Arabidopsis thaliana: one gene and its partner. Each later gene encodes a partner of the first gene's protein in a complex. Each region holds a gene or a part of one and is shown on either strand. Other genes may lie near its edges.

Region 1 (6,834 bases):
CTACGGCCTCGGGCCGCACCGTGACAATATGCATGATTTTACCCGCTGGGAGGAATCTGCGGGATTCTTTCATCTCGGCCGTCTGGCTCTCCGGCGGGGCCACACCGGCCTCTGCAATGACGGCTTCTTCTTCTTCTTTTATTTCTTTTGCCACATCGGTTTCTTCAGGTTGCTCCGAAGAATCGTGGTAAAGGTCATGCTCCAGTTGCTGCCATAGCTCAGCTTCAGTCATCCGCTCTTCCCGTGTGTCCATTTCCGCTGGATCCTCACACTCGTCAAGATCAGTGGCTCCAAGACGAGGTGATGTTTCCTCGTAATTAGAACACTCGGCTTCTGATTTCCATTTCCCGGTGATTTCTTCATCCGTAACAAGAAGAGGATCCGAAGTTTCGGGTATATCTTGGGACATTGCTTCAGAAGTATCTAACTGATGTTCCGAGATTGACTGAGTAGCAGAGGCTCTGCGCCGGGGTCCCATACATGACCAAGAAGATATGCTTAGTGCAGGACGGGTCAGCATGCTTTGAGCTCTTCTCATCACAACCTGCAAAAGTTTTGTTTTATTCACAAAATTTTAGAGTCTCAAGTTCTATATTAAGTTTATAAGGATATTTCTTATATTTTATTCTTACCTGTGTGCCACTAGAAACCGGGCGTAACATTGCACCAGCGCCAGCAACTTTTGCTTTGGCAGTGGCCATCGATGGAAGTCGTGATCCTAAAGCCGTCGCTGAGCGATAAACAGTGCTGAGGATTCGGGTGTGTTCGATTTGATTTCTCAGATCATTTAGCCAAGCAGATGCTGTTACCTGATGAAAAGGTGGAAGGGAAGAATAAATAGTTTATCTCAAGAAAACACAACAGACGTTTTCCCAAGTATATAAATGAAGCATAGAATTTGGGTCTAGGAAGCTAACCTCAGCACGTAAGTCATCTACAGCTGCAGCAGAAAATGTAGGCACCAGATCAGCTCCGTTTATGACAGATACGATGAAGTCATTCCCAGAGTCGGCTAATTCCCAAGTCATACAAGCAGCTGAAGAAAATAGGTAGGAACAAGCACTAAGTCTTGTATCTTAAGAAGATATAAACATATATAATTGAAAACTAGATTGTATGAAAAACCTGGCGCAAATGTAACACATGTAGCTGTAGAGAGCATTTTCTGCTCCCGCATAATATATGTTAAAAGTGCAGCCGTTCCACCACCCAAAGAGTGCCCTACGATCTGCCAACAAAATGCAGGAGAATTACAATGTATAGGGCTAGAGACAATCTTTGGTTTCTCACACAATGGGTTTTAGGAAAAGTTGAAATAAAGATTAGAGAACGGGCTACAAAAGTACCTTGATTTTGTAATCTGGATATTGCTCAAGACCCTTGAGAAGACAAGGGGTGGCAAGTTTAGCTATACACCGGGCAGCAGCAACCATACCACAATGAGCATAACCTAAGACCAAATTGCTGACCCCTCTTTCATTTACAACAGTATGATGGAACGGTACGATTGCTCCAGTTGCAGCAGTCAAGGTATCTTTGATGCTATGCGTTCCACGAATCAATAACAGAAAATATTTTGTATTGTGATCGACAAGAACCGTAAAAGCTGGCTTCAATATCTACATGGTGCAAAATTCAAAACTAAACTTCTCAATTTCTATGTTGAAAAAGTGCCTAAGAGTTGAGAGTTGTTAAAGTTTACCCCAGCTTTGGGTTCATGAATAAGGACATTTTCCTTTGTAAAGCCGGTCTCTTCTAAGAAAAACGGAAACGACTTCTTGGAAAAATGCCAACACAATGTCAACAAGTGCAAAAGATATTTGAGTTCAGTGGCTACTTCTGATCCTCTAAGTTCTACACTATCTTTACCACCAAAGACACGATCAACATGTAGAAGTCCCTACGGTTTTAGGTACACAATTACAAAAAGTTCAATTTTGACCACAAGATAATTAGAAAAAAATCCAGAACTTAAGACCGTTAAAACGATGAAGAGATGTTATACCTGCCTCTTGATGAGAAAATTGATCCCAAACGCAAGATCACCAATAGGCCACTTCCCAAGAGTCTCAGAGTAAGTAAAACGAAGAGTCTCAGAAAGAGTAGAAATAGTCTCCAACCAAGTTGCCGGAGCTTGAATAAGCCTATGCGAAACACGGTCAATCCTCAAAGAAGGACGAGAAGCAGAAGCTTCAGAATTCTCATCGTCAACGTCAGATGGACCAGCTATTAATTTCCGATTCAACGTGTAATATAAAAGAGCAGCTGCTCCAGCTGCTGTTGCCATAGTTGCAGTTGCCATGATCAATCTATCCCTAAAATCATCAATGAAACAAATTCGCTCAATCCAAGACGAAACTCAATCTAATAAGAATACAAAATTTAAAGACAAAATCGATTGAAACTACATTGGATGCCACAATTTCAATCTCCAGATGCGTTCTTAAGTATCTCAGACTTATTCCAGAAATCTCCAAAAACATGTAAAGCTGGAAAATTGGATATAATTTCGTACAAAGAACATTCTTTTCACCAATTAACCCCAAAGAATTCGGGATACAAAAAAAAGAAGCCATTAATAGAAAACTCTCACTTTCCTGAAACTTCTCGAATACCACAACAAACCCTACTCCTGATAACTATCGCGTCTTTTAACCGATGCAAATCATAAAATTGAATGTGATTTAGCTTAAAATTGAACAGGATCGGTGAACTATAGAAACAAAACCCTAAATCCTACCCCAAGAATAGCATCGTTAAAACACGAAGTTCTTTGTGAATCAAACCTGGAAAAATAAGACGAAATCGTGACCTTAATTTGAGGGTTTTACAGTGGAGAAGGAAGGTTAAGGTTGCTTTAGCTTATGTACGATATCTCCGGGAAGGGGAAGCTGCTTTCTCTCCGATGATGTTGTTAGCTACAAGATGCTGCAATGCAAAAGTGTGAAAACAGAATTTTTTGTTTTGCTTTAAATAAACTGCGCTACGTTTTTGTGCTAAGCGAACGCCGCGTAGTTTCGCGCCGCCGAGATCTGATGCTTACGTGGGAATATATTATTGGATGACTTACCCATAAAAGCGTTTTAACATAAATCAAGCAGTAAATAATAATAGTGTTAAATCGACTTTTTTGGTCCATAAATTAAAATTTATTCGAAACAGATATTTTATTAGCTTGGAAGATTAGTCTCATTTATTTAAGAAACATTCAGTCACAATAATTATTAGGAAATTTAACATTAAATTGGAAAGTGCTTAAAGTATTAAAGTACAACGTCTTATCTATCGAGTTAAGAAATCGTGGACATTGCTTGAAAATAATAAAAAAGGGACAGTGGACGGATTTGCTCGCTAGTTTTCTCTTCGAATTTTCCACAAACAAATTTTCTCAGCCAAAGTTCGATCGGATCTGGGTTTTATATTTTTTTGAAGAACCCGTGTCCGTCTTCGATCAGGTGTCGAAAGTCTCAATCTTTTTTAATCACTTTATCAATTTAAACCCTTTGGTCAAAACCCTAATTTAGATTTCTCTTTCCGTCTTCACTTTTTTTTTTTCCTGTCAAAGTTCGCGTTCAATAGCCAAATCTTATCTCTTCAGCTGGAATCTGACGAACATTATTATCATCGGTAGTGTTCTATAGAAAGACCGAAAGTTTTCTTCAATTTCAAAGTCAGTGGCGATGTCGTGGGCTGGTCCTGAAGAAATTTATCTTTCAACATCACTCGCTAGTTATCTCGATAGTAAATCCGTCTCTCTTTCTCTCTGTTTCACATATTTGTTGAACCGTATGAATGCATGTAGTTAAAATAATTGGCCGTGATGGCTCTGTACGCATTTGGGAGCTCAATTTTGCAAACAATTCTCTGTTTTTTTGACGTTTGATTTTGACTTCTTATTGATATATAGGCTGTACTATTTTGTGGCTGTATCCAAAGCTTGTCAATTTTGGTGTTGAATTGTCTCAAAGAGACATTCATTGATTAAGATATTGATTATTGAATCAAAGCTTTAGTTTTTTTTTAATTGGGTCAAATCTAACTGTTCATCAGTTATTGTTGTCAAGCTAAATTTTAGCATGCGTGAGAGATTAGATGTGATTGAGGTTGCTGGCTCACTCTTTATTCAACTTACGAAGTATAAACTTTAACCTTTGTTGAAATTTAATTCACTATCGGCTTTTTGATGTTGGTTCTTTGAGTTTAAAAGTCAATGATCTTCTTTTGCTGATGTTTTTGGGCTATGAGTTAGTTCTCAATCTCATTTGGCGTACCGTTTTCTTTTTTAGATATGAATCAATGTGCATCAGTTACTTATGTATGTTGGCTCTGCTCTTGATGATGCAGGAAAACTACTTGTGCTTCTTAGAGATGGTAGAAAGCTAATGGGAACACTCCGTTCCTTTGATCAATTCGGTATTCACTTTTCTTTCCATGTTTCTAGATTTACGATATTGTTGATGAGCGGGAGAGATTTGACTTTTTTTTGTTCGTTGTAAATACACAGCCAATGCGGTTCTAGAAGGTGCGTGTGAGAGGGTAATTGTTGGTGAACAATACTGTGACATTCCTTTAGGCCTCTATGTAATCCGTGGAGAGAATGTTGTTTTGATTGGTGAGCTGGTAAGACTTCTCCTTGTTTGTCTTTTCTTGCTGTGTCACCTCGTGTTTTCCAATTCACTGAGTTTGACCTTAAACTATGTATTAGGACACGGAGAGAGAAGAGCTTCCTCCACATATGATTCGCGTCTCAGAGGCAGAGATTAAAAGGGTAAGACATCGCATAACATGTTCATTTTGATTAGCCAAATTTGATTCATTTGTGATGCTGTGTGCGTGCTGATGATTTGGTTTTCGGGAATCTGTCTGTTGATGCAGGCACAAAAGGTGGAGAGGGAAGCGAGTGAGCTGAGAGGAACAATGAGGAAGAGAATGGAGTTTCTTGACTTTGATTAAACCAGATTGTATCCCCATTCATTATTGGCTTGATGCTCTGCTTTGGCTCGCAAGTTTTATGATGAGCCTTTTTGGTGTGTTGACTTAGGGGATCGACGCAATTCTTGTGTTTCATTTTGGATGAATATGACAATAAATCTGTGTACTTTTGTCTTTGGATCTATTTACCTTTTTAAGAAAAAAATGTTAAGCAATTTCTTTCTCTATTTTGGAACTTTTAAACAAGGAGCTTGCCTATGGCTACTACCAAACGGAACAAAAATGGAGCAAATGAGTAGAGGACGTCGCACATTGCAAAATTTACATGGTACTTATTGGTTCTGTGATCAATCAGGACTTTTATAAATAGAAGACATATGGCACAAACAACAACACACAAATATGTTCACCTGGAGATTATTCCACCGGGCAGGAAACCCGTGAATAAAAATTCAAAGAATGGTTCTATTTCTATGACATCCTAATGTGACTGAAAAACGAAAGAAAGAAGATAGAACTCTCGGGTTTTCGATCTTCTTTTATCGCCTCCTCAAGTGTGGTGGTGTGGTATATCCTTCGAAGAAATCTAGAACGATGGTCTCGATATCTTCAACCGAATATTTCAAATAGTTCTCAGGGTGTCTTCCACTCTCTATATGACCCCTGAACCTTCCAAGAAACGATCTATAAGCAGGGATTAGATGCTCGGATAGCGATATTCGGAGTTCTTCTCTAAGCTGAGCATCTGGAACCGACCATGTGGACTGAGTCCTGTGAACCTCTTCGAACATTGTATTGAATGCCTTAAACCTCTCTCTTAATGCACTTCTTGATACACCTGAGGAGAAACTCCCACTCACATGTAATCCTTCATCTCTCAAACTATTCAGTACTCTGACCCATGTAGCTCTCTGGTAGTTTGTGGCAGCATGTCTAAATATCCCAGTGAGTTTCCTTAAATAATGGTCTCCAATCATCTCTCGTAGTTCTGGTGACCTTTTCACTTTCTGAACAATGTAATGGATGTTGTTCATGATGAATATGTGAGCTAGAGATGTGTCTCTATAGTGCTTGGATTTCTCTTCTAAGTTGAAATGCAAGACCACAATCAACCATATCAAATGCAAATCCAACGGAGATTTACTATCCAACTCCGTGAAATCCATATCCGGTGTGTTTGGATCAGAACCAGTAGAGGGATTCGACATGATGAGATCATCCAACGTTTGCTTATAATCAGAGATCATAACAATGTAGTTCATCACATACCTTGTCAATGGATGAATCGTTCCTCCAGGGACAGGAACTATCGAAGGTTCGCGAAGAACCGCATTCTCAAACTCCGAAAGTATACCTCTCGCTGCTTCCGCTAACCTCGATTGAATCTCAACAGCCTGAGCTCTAATAGCATCTGATGAATCTGAGTCAAAGATTGCTTCAATATCCGGCAACATATCCGTTAAAGCATCATGTAAATCAAGAATCTTGAACAGCTTCTCAGGTGATCTTCTACTGATACTTATAGCTTCAGGGAAAGTGAAAAGTCTCAGAGCAGAAGCCTTCACTGTCTCCATGAAACAAGTCTCATCCATGGCAGTGCAAATACCATCAAAGAGCTGCTCACATAGTCTCTTCTCACTAGAGAAAACAACTCTAATGCAAACTTTAGCAGCACGAATCCATTTCCTGATCTTTCCTTCAACAACTTCCCACTCAAGCCTTTGAACATCACCAATGCTTATCTTCACAATCCCAAGCTGCTTAAATATTGCTTCCATGGCTGATTTGCGAACAGTTCCATAGACTTGGATACATTCACGAGAGTAACCGGCGGCGACCATTCGTTGAACAATCGATCTTAGATCAGAAACTGCTTCCGGCGAAATCAGATCCATTTCTCGT
Region 2 (6,894 bases), on another chromosome or scaffold:
CAGACGACACCAAATCCACGAGATCAGACGCTCTTCAGCTCTTCAACGCCTCTCCTTCCGACGGCTCTAAGAAACAGAAACAACATCAACAACCACCAAAGTACACTTCCTCACACACTTCCTCTGAGTTTCTCTACTTAGGTACTTTAGTAAACTCTCGAAGCAATGGTTTAGAGCAGCAAAAGTCTCCAATCTCCCTCTCTGGCGGTATCACCGGCGTATTGGAATTACCTCCTCCAGCTTCGTCGTCTTCTTCTTCTTCTTACTCACAGTACCATAAGCTAGGCTCGCCAGAGCTTCGTCCTCTTCCCCCTTTACCAAAGCTCCAATCTTTCACTCCCGTTTACAAAAGCACTGAACAGTTAAACCCTAAAAGACAAGACTTTGACGGAGACGATAACGAAAACGATGAGTTTTTCTCTCCGAGAGGATCTTCAGGGCGTAAACAGAGCCCGACCCGTGTCTCTGATGTTGATCAGATTGACAACAGGAGTATCAACGGCTCAGGCTCGAACTCGTGTTCGCCGACTAATTTTGCGCCGTCGTTGAATGCTTCTCCGGGAACAAGTTTGAAACCTAAGTCAATTAGTCCTCCTGTCTCGCTGCACAGTCAGATAAGCTCAAACAACGGCATTCCGAAGCGGCTTTGTCCAGCGAGGCCACCTCCACCACCTCCTCCGCCGCCACAGGTCTCGGAGGTTCCGGCTACTATGTCGCATTCCCTTCCTGGTGATGATTCTGACCCAGAGAAGAAAGTGGAGACCATGAAACCAAAGTTGAAGACTTTACATTGGGATAAAGTTAGAGCAAGCTCGAGCCGTGTTATGGTGTGGGACCAAATCAAATCAAACTCCTTTCAGTAAGACATAACGAATCTGAATTAAAGACTTGATCTATCCTTTTGCATACACGACTAAGATATGATTCTTTTGTGTTTTTGCAGAGTGAATGAAGAAATGATAGAGACATTGTTCAAGGTGAATGATCCAACTTCGAGAACAAGAGATGGCGTTGTTCAATCCGTGAGTCAGGAGAATCGGTTTCTTGATCCAAGAAAGTCACACAACATTGCTATTTTGTTGAGAGCTCTTAATGTAACTGCTGATGAAGTATGTGAAGCTCTTATAGAAGGTGAGTAATTTCCAATCTGTTGTTGCTTAGGTTACTCGCACTTACTGCAACATTGCATTGGTTTGATGATTCCTCAAATTGGTCTGTGATTATTGAAGCTTGACTTGTTTGACTTAGTTGATGTCTAATCACTTTCTTGTTCATGAATCAGGTAACTCGGATACGCTTGGACCCGAGCTTCTCGAATGCTTGCTTAAGATGGCTCCTACTAAAGAAGAAGAGGACAAGCTTAAGGAGCTTAAAGATGATGATGATGGATCTCCTTCCAAGATAGGACCTGCAGAGAAATTCCTCAAAGCATTGTTGAACATTCCTTTCGCCTTCAAGAGGATTGATGCAATGCTTTACATTGTCAAGTTCGAATCAGAAATCGAGTACCTTAACAGATCCTTCGACACTCTCGAGGTAAAACTCTACTTGTCCACCTCATAAGTGTATGTCTGCTGATCAAACAGATCATTCATATGCATTTGATCAAACTCTCAGGCTGCTACTGGTGAGTTAAAGAACACGCGGATGTTCTTGAAGCTTTTAGAAGCCGTGCTCAAGACTGGGAACCGGATGAATATAGGAACCAATAGAGGGGACGCACATGCTTTCAAGCTCGACACGCTCTTAAAACTGGTAGATATCAAAGGCGCGGATGGGAAAACCACCTTATTGCATTTTGTGGTTCAAGAGATCATAAAATTTGAAGGAGCTCGGGTTCCTTTTACTCCGAGTCAAAGCCATATAGGCGATAACATGGCCGAGCAATCCGCATTCCAAGATGACCTAGAGCTCAAGAAACTCGGGTTGCAAGTCGTTTCAGGTCTCAGCTCTCAGCTGATTAACGTCAAGAAAGCAGCGGCAATGGATTCAAATTCCCTCATCAACGAAACAGCGGAAATCGCCAGAGGAATAGCGAAAGTCAAGGAAGTAATCACGGAGCTAAAGCAAGAAACAGGTGTAGAGAGATTCTTGGAGTCAATGAACTCGTTCTTGAACAAAGGTGAGAAAGAGATCACAGAGTTACAATCTCATGGAGACAATGTCATGAAGATGGTTAAAGAAGTAACAGAGTATTTCCACGGGAACTCGGAAACTCATCCTTTTCGCATTTTCGCTGTGGTCAGAGACTTTCTGACGATTCTTGATCAAGTGTGTAAAGAAGTTGGACGCGTAAACGAGAGAACGGTGTATGGATCCATGCCACTACATTCGCCATCGAACCAGACCGCCACGCCTCTGTTTCCGGTGGTTATCAATAACAACTCACGGCTAAGTCCATCGGGTTCTCTAGACGACGACGATGGCTCGTTCTAAGTGAAAACTGTTGGCTCGGGTTTGGTTCGGTGTATGCTAATGTTTTGGTTTCATTTGCTACGTACTCAAGTAATATATGTGTTATACATATTTATATTTTTATTGATAGGCGAATTTAAATAGATTTTGGCAGATTGTTGCAAGTTGCTATCATCGGGCTCTGTACGTGTTCCAGTCCTCTGTTGAATTATTTATGTCACGTGTAGATGTATTTATTGATCTAAACCTAAAACGATAGAAGAACTAAAGTCTTGTGAAAAGTTAAATTATTGCAAGCTATACTATTTACAAAATGTAAAAAAAGAAACTGAAATTATTCTTTTGTTTGGTTCACATTAGGCATTTCCAAATTGCTGATGTCAAACATCTTTGCAAAGTTCTTCTCCCAACGAATTTTGAAAATTCACCATTTTCACGATTAAAATTTTAAAATTGACTAAAAAGTTTTAATCTCGCACATAATTAAACCACAATAAAAAAACTTGGACTTCGGATTGTTTTCCATGTGGGCTGATTCGAATTTGGGCTTGGGCCTTTTTAATTGTAATTTTATTTTTACTTATTTGTAAATGCGTCACATGTCTTCTTCGCTCTGTTCGGCTGCTTCATCGAGCGGAAGTCTCTAGCCAATTACCGTTTGTTCGTGGACTCGAGGTTCGTTGTTCTTAGATTTCCCAGACTCATCTGTTTCTGCAATCCATTTCAAAGTTTCTCTTTTTACTTAATCCAAGTCATTCGCGCATTTCCTAATTGGTCTGAGGTTTAGGGTTTTAGGGCACATAGTTTTGTTTGATTCGGGAGTAATCGTTGAGATGCTACGAGTTTGGTATTCAAGATGATTCCTTTTCTCAAGGTCTTTATGTAATTTGATTGATTTATGGATCTCGAATTGCTGACATGAATTTGTTGCTTAAAGTTGTTGGCTTTGTGGGATATTCTGAGGGGTCTTGTTTGATTTGGATCTAATTTGGTGGGCAGATATTGTGGTTTCTTAGCAAAGAAGATGAGTGGAGTTGGAGAGAAAGCTTCTGGAACAACTAAGACACCTGCTGATTTCTTGAAATCTATCCGTGGTAAACCAGTTGTTGTCAAGCTCAACTCTGGTGTTGATTATCGAGGTCTGTCTCTCTCTCTTTCTGCATTTTGTGTTCTCCTCTAAGATGTATCCAGTTCAAATTCTTTTTTTTTTTGCCTTGTGTGATGATATCTTATAGTTTGCTTCTGATTTTCGGTGGTTATTAAGCTATCGGAAGTCTATGTAAACTTCTTTATCACTTTGGGTTTAGATGTCTCAATGCCTTTCTTTCTCGCCATGTTACTGGAACCTTTGGATGTTGGTTTACAGAATGACTCTTTTCTTTGTCTAAGAACTGCTTGCTTGATTCTCATTTGATTTGAAAGTCCCATCTCTGAAGATTCATTTTTGTTGAGCTTGCTTGTTTTTTCCCTATCTTGTCTCTGTGTTTGAGAAGGAATAATACATTTCGGCTTGAGATATTTGCTTTGGATTTTGAGAAATATAATCTAGATGAGCAGGAAATTAACATACGGCTTTGAAACATATGCTTTTTGGAATTTGAGAGGAATATTAGATTCAGATGATAGCTTTGTGAATTGAGAGAGCTTCTCTCATGAGATAACAGACCCAAATGTGGTTGAATTTGAGATGCATTTACTCTTGCTTCTGATAGAATATGGACTCTCACCTTGCTATGGAGCCTTTATCACCTGAAATTAAGACCTTGGTCTCTTGAACTCTATAATATAACTTACAGGACTAGGAGAACTTCTAGCTTGAATATCTTTCTTTGGTTTATCTACAAAAGTCAGACTTATTCTTTCTTTGGCATATCATGTTGTATCAATCTACATATGACACTTTGTCTCTCTTCTTGTTTGCAGGCATTCTTACTTGTCTTGATGGATATATGAACATCGCAATGGAGCAAACCGAAGAGTATGTAAATGGCCAGCTGAAGAACACATATGGCGACGCTTTTGTCCGTGGCAACAATGGTAAAAACCAAATCACATTCATCATCACTCTTTAAATCGGTTTAGTATGTTTTTTTATATCCAATTCTGAAAAATATGCTCTATGTTGGCCACAGTTCTTTACATCAGCACAACAAAGGGGACATTGTCAGATGGAGCATAGCTCTCTTTCATCACCATGAATGTTCATCTTCTTCTCTACCTCTGGCATATGACAAATGTAGGATTTGTAGCAACCAGAGTTTATCACCACTGCATGAATTCGACATGTCTTTTTCTTCCGCAACTCAGTTTGTGTCTAAATCATCTCCAAAATTCTGAGATATAGCTAGATTTTTATTTGTTATGAAATTTTTTTTAATCACTGTTGGTCTTTGGAGCCTAATTATCGTGTTTTGATGACGCAATCACTGCGTCACAATCTGATGTCATCTTAACAATCATTAATGTATTTTTTTTTTCTTTTCTCGTAATATTCTTAATTATTCTTCGACAGCAAAGGTTTAAAAACTCCTTATTTCAATCATTAATGTATTTATGATTTGATCGAATAACAATAATATAGCTTATTTTGTTCTATTCTATCGTATTTGATTCTTCTTTCGTTTTTTTTTTGTTTGACTTAAGAAACCGATTGTTTATAGTAGTAAACATTTGTTTTTAATGTTGCTCGATTCCAGTGCACATGTCCAGGCTAGACACTTGTCGTTATAAAGGTTGCTTTGGTTCAATATTGATCCACTAGAGATGTTACAACTATTGTTGACATCTGAGATTGTGTGATAAGAAAATATGAAACTGGATTTAGTGAAAGTTACAATATATAATCATACATCATAGATAGGAAATAAGGAAATGTCAGATATACTTGAAGAATACATCAAATAGACAAGGTCCTTTTTCTTATTGTCGACTATTATAGAGCCGTACAGAACCTTTTCACGTCTTTAGTAATTAGTACATTCTCCATTTCGGCTCTCTCTTATTTTTTTTCCATCTCTTTTACTTCTCCAAATAATAACAATAAAAGCTTCGATTTTGTGTGTGTTTGTATTTACATCTTGACATCGATATTCTTTTCATCAATTTTTTACCAAAAATGTAATAAAAACAAAAAAAAACCAACGCTGAACACAGACATGGTTTCTCCATCCGTTTATATTCATCGTTTGTATGTTTACTTAACAACTTATTTCAAAATAGTACATATCATGGTTGTGTTTTTAAAAAAAGTATACAGAACAGAAAAGCACATGGTAGACAAAATAATGAAGCCAAAATTAATACAAAGAAGAAGTTCAACTTGTATTTATTAACACATTTTCTTTCCTTGTCAAAGACATGCAAATTGGTTTTGTTTTCTTATTCCCATTTTTTTTTTATAATAAAAAGAAGAAGAGTAAAACAAAAAAACTATCATTTCTTCTTATCGCAAAACTCTTATCTAAGCAAGAAACCGACAAAACCTATATCTACATATATTCTCATCAACATCTCTTGAGACATATTCATTTTGGTTAAAGCAAAAGATTTTAAGAGAGAAAGGGGGAGAAGTGAGAGAGATGGAGCATAAGAGAGGACATGTATTAGCAGTGCCGTACCCAACGCAAGGACACATCACACCATTCCGCCAATTCTGCAAACGACTTCACTTCAAAGGTCTCAAAACCACTCTCGCTCTCACCACTTTCGTCTTCAACTCCATCAATCCTGACCTATCCGGTCCAATCTCCATAGCCACCATCTCCGATGGCTATGACCATGGGGGTTTCGAGACAGCTGACTCCATCGACGACTACCTCAAAGACTTTAAAACTTCCGGCTCGAAAACCATTGCAGACATCATCCAAAAACACCAGACTAGTGATAACCCCATCACTTGTATCGTCTATGATGCTTTCCTGCCTTGGGCACTTGACGTTGCTAGAGAGTTTGGTTTAGTTGCGACTCCTTTCTTTACGCAGCCTTGTGCTGTTAACTATGTTTATTATCTTTCTTACATAAACAATGGAAGCTTGCAACTTCCCATTGAGGAATTGCCTTTTCTTGAGCTCCAAGATTTGCCTTCTTTCTTCTCTGTTTCTGGCTCTTATCCTGCTTACTTTGAGATGGTGCTTCAACAGTTCATAAATTTCGAAAAAGCTGATTTCGTTCTCGTTAATAGCTTCCAAGAGTTGGAACTGCATGTTAGATCTCTCTCTATCTCTTTCTTACAATTCTTAAACCATCTCTTGTTCTTGTGCATGTACTAACTGCTCTTTTTTTGTTTACAGGAGAATGAATTGTGGTCGAAAGCTTGTCCTGTGTTGACAATTGGTCCAACTATTCCATCAATTTACTTAGACCAACGTATCAAATCAGACACCGGCTATGATCTTAATCTCTTTGAATCGAAAGATGATTCCTTCTGCATTAACTGGCTCGACACAAGGCCACAAGGGTCGGTGGTGTACGTAGCATTCG

What was found.
Region 2: LSM1B (region 1) and LSM6B share a complex: the UniProt entries of both Arabidopsis thaliana proteins name them as parts of the heptameric LSM1-LSM7 complex.

The regions. Positions count from the first base shown.
Region 1 is NC_003074.8:4,664,037-4,670,870, forward strand, and holds LSM1B (Small nuclear ribonucleoprotein family protein), read left to right. Parts: upstream 1-3,271; 5' UTR 3,272-3,455; exon of another isoform or gene 3,456-3,565; 5' UTR 3,566-3,680; coding exon 3,681-3,741; intron 3,742-4,293; exon of another isoform or gene 4,294-4,313; coding exon of another isoform or gene 4,314-4,344; coding exon 4,345-4,413; intron 4,414-4,504; coding exon 4,505-4,620; intron 4,621-4,705; coding exon 4,706-4,768; intron 4,769-4,875; coding exon 4,876-4,953; 3' UTR 4,954-5,158; downstream 5,159-6,834. Other genes in the region: AT3G14075 (Mono-/di-acylglycerol lipase, N-terminal;Lipase, class 3), read right to left, coding at 1-544, 633-809, 918-1,036, 1,126-1,228, 1,347-1,619, 1,703-1,900, 2,006-2,302; EXO70D3 (exocyst subunit exo70 family protein D3), read right to left, coding at 5,472-6,834. UniProt on the Arabidopsis thaliana protein: Component of the cytoplasmic LSM1-LSM7 complex which is involved in mRNA degradation by promoting decapping and leading to accurate 5'-3' mRNA decay.
Region 2 is NC_003071.7:18,146,286-18,153,179, forward strand, and holds LSM6B (Small nuclear ribonucleoprotein family protein), read left to right. Parts: upstream 1-2,911; 5' UTR 2,912-3,090; exon of another isoform or gene 3,091-3,289; intron 3,290-3,414; 5' UTR 3,415-3,439; coding exon 3,440-3,554; intron 3,555-4,338; coding exon 4,339-4,452; intron 4,453-4,547; coding exon 4,548-4,594; 3' UTR 4,595-5,010; downstream 5,011-6,894. Other genes in the region: AT2G43800 (Actin-binding FH2 (formin homology 2) family protein), read left to right, coding at 1-859, 944-1,131, 1,283-1,536, 1,618-2,436; UGT74F2 (UDP-glucosyltransferase 74F2), read left to right, coding at 5,994-6,617, 6,705-6,894. UniProt on the Arabidopsis thaliana protein: Component of LSM protein complexes, which are involved in RNA processing. Component of the cytoplasmic LSM1-LSM7 complex which is involved in mRNA degradation by promoting decapping and leading to accurate 5'-3' mRNA decay.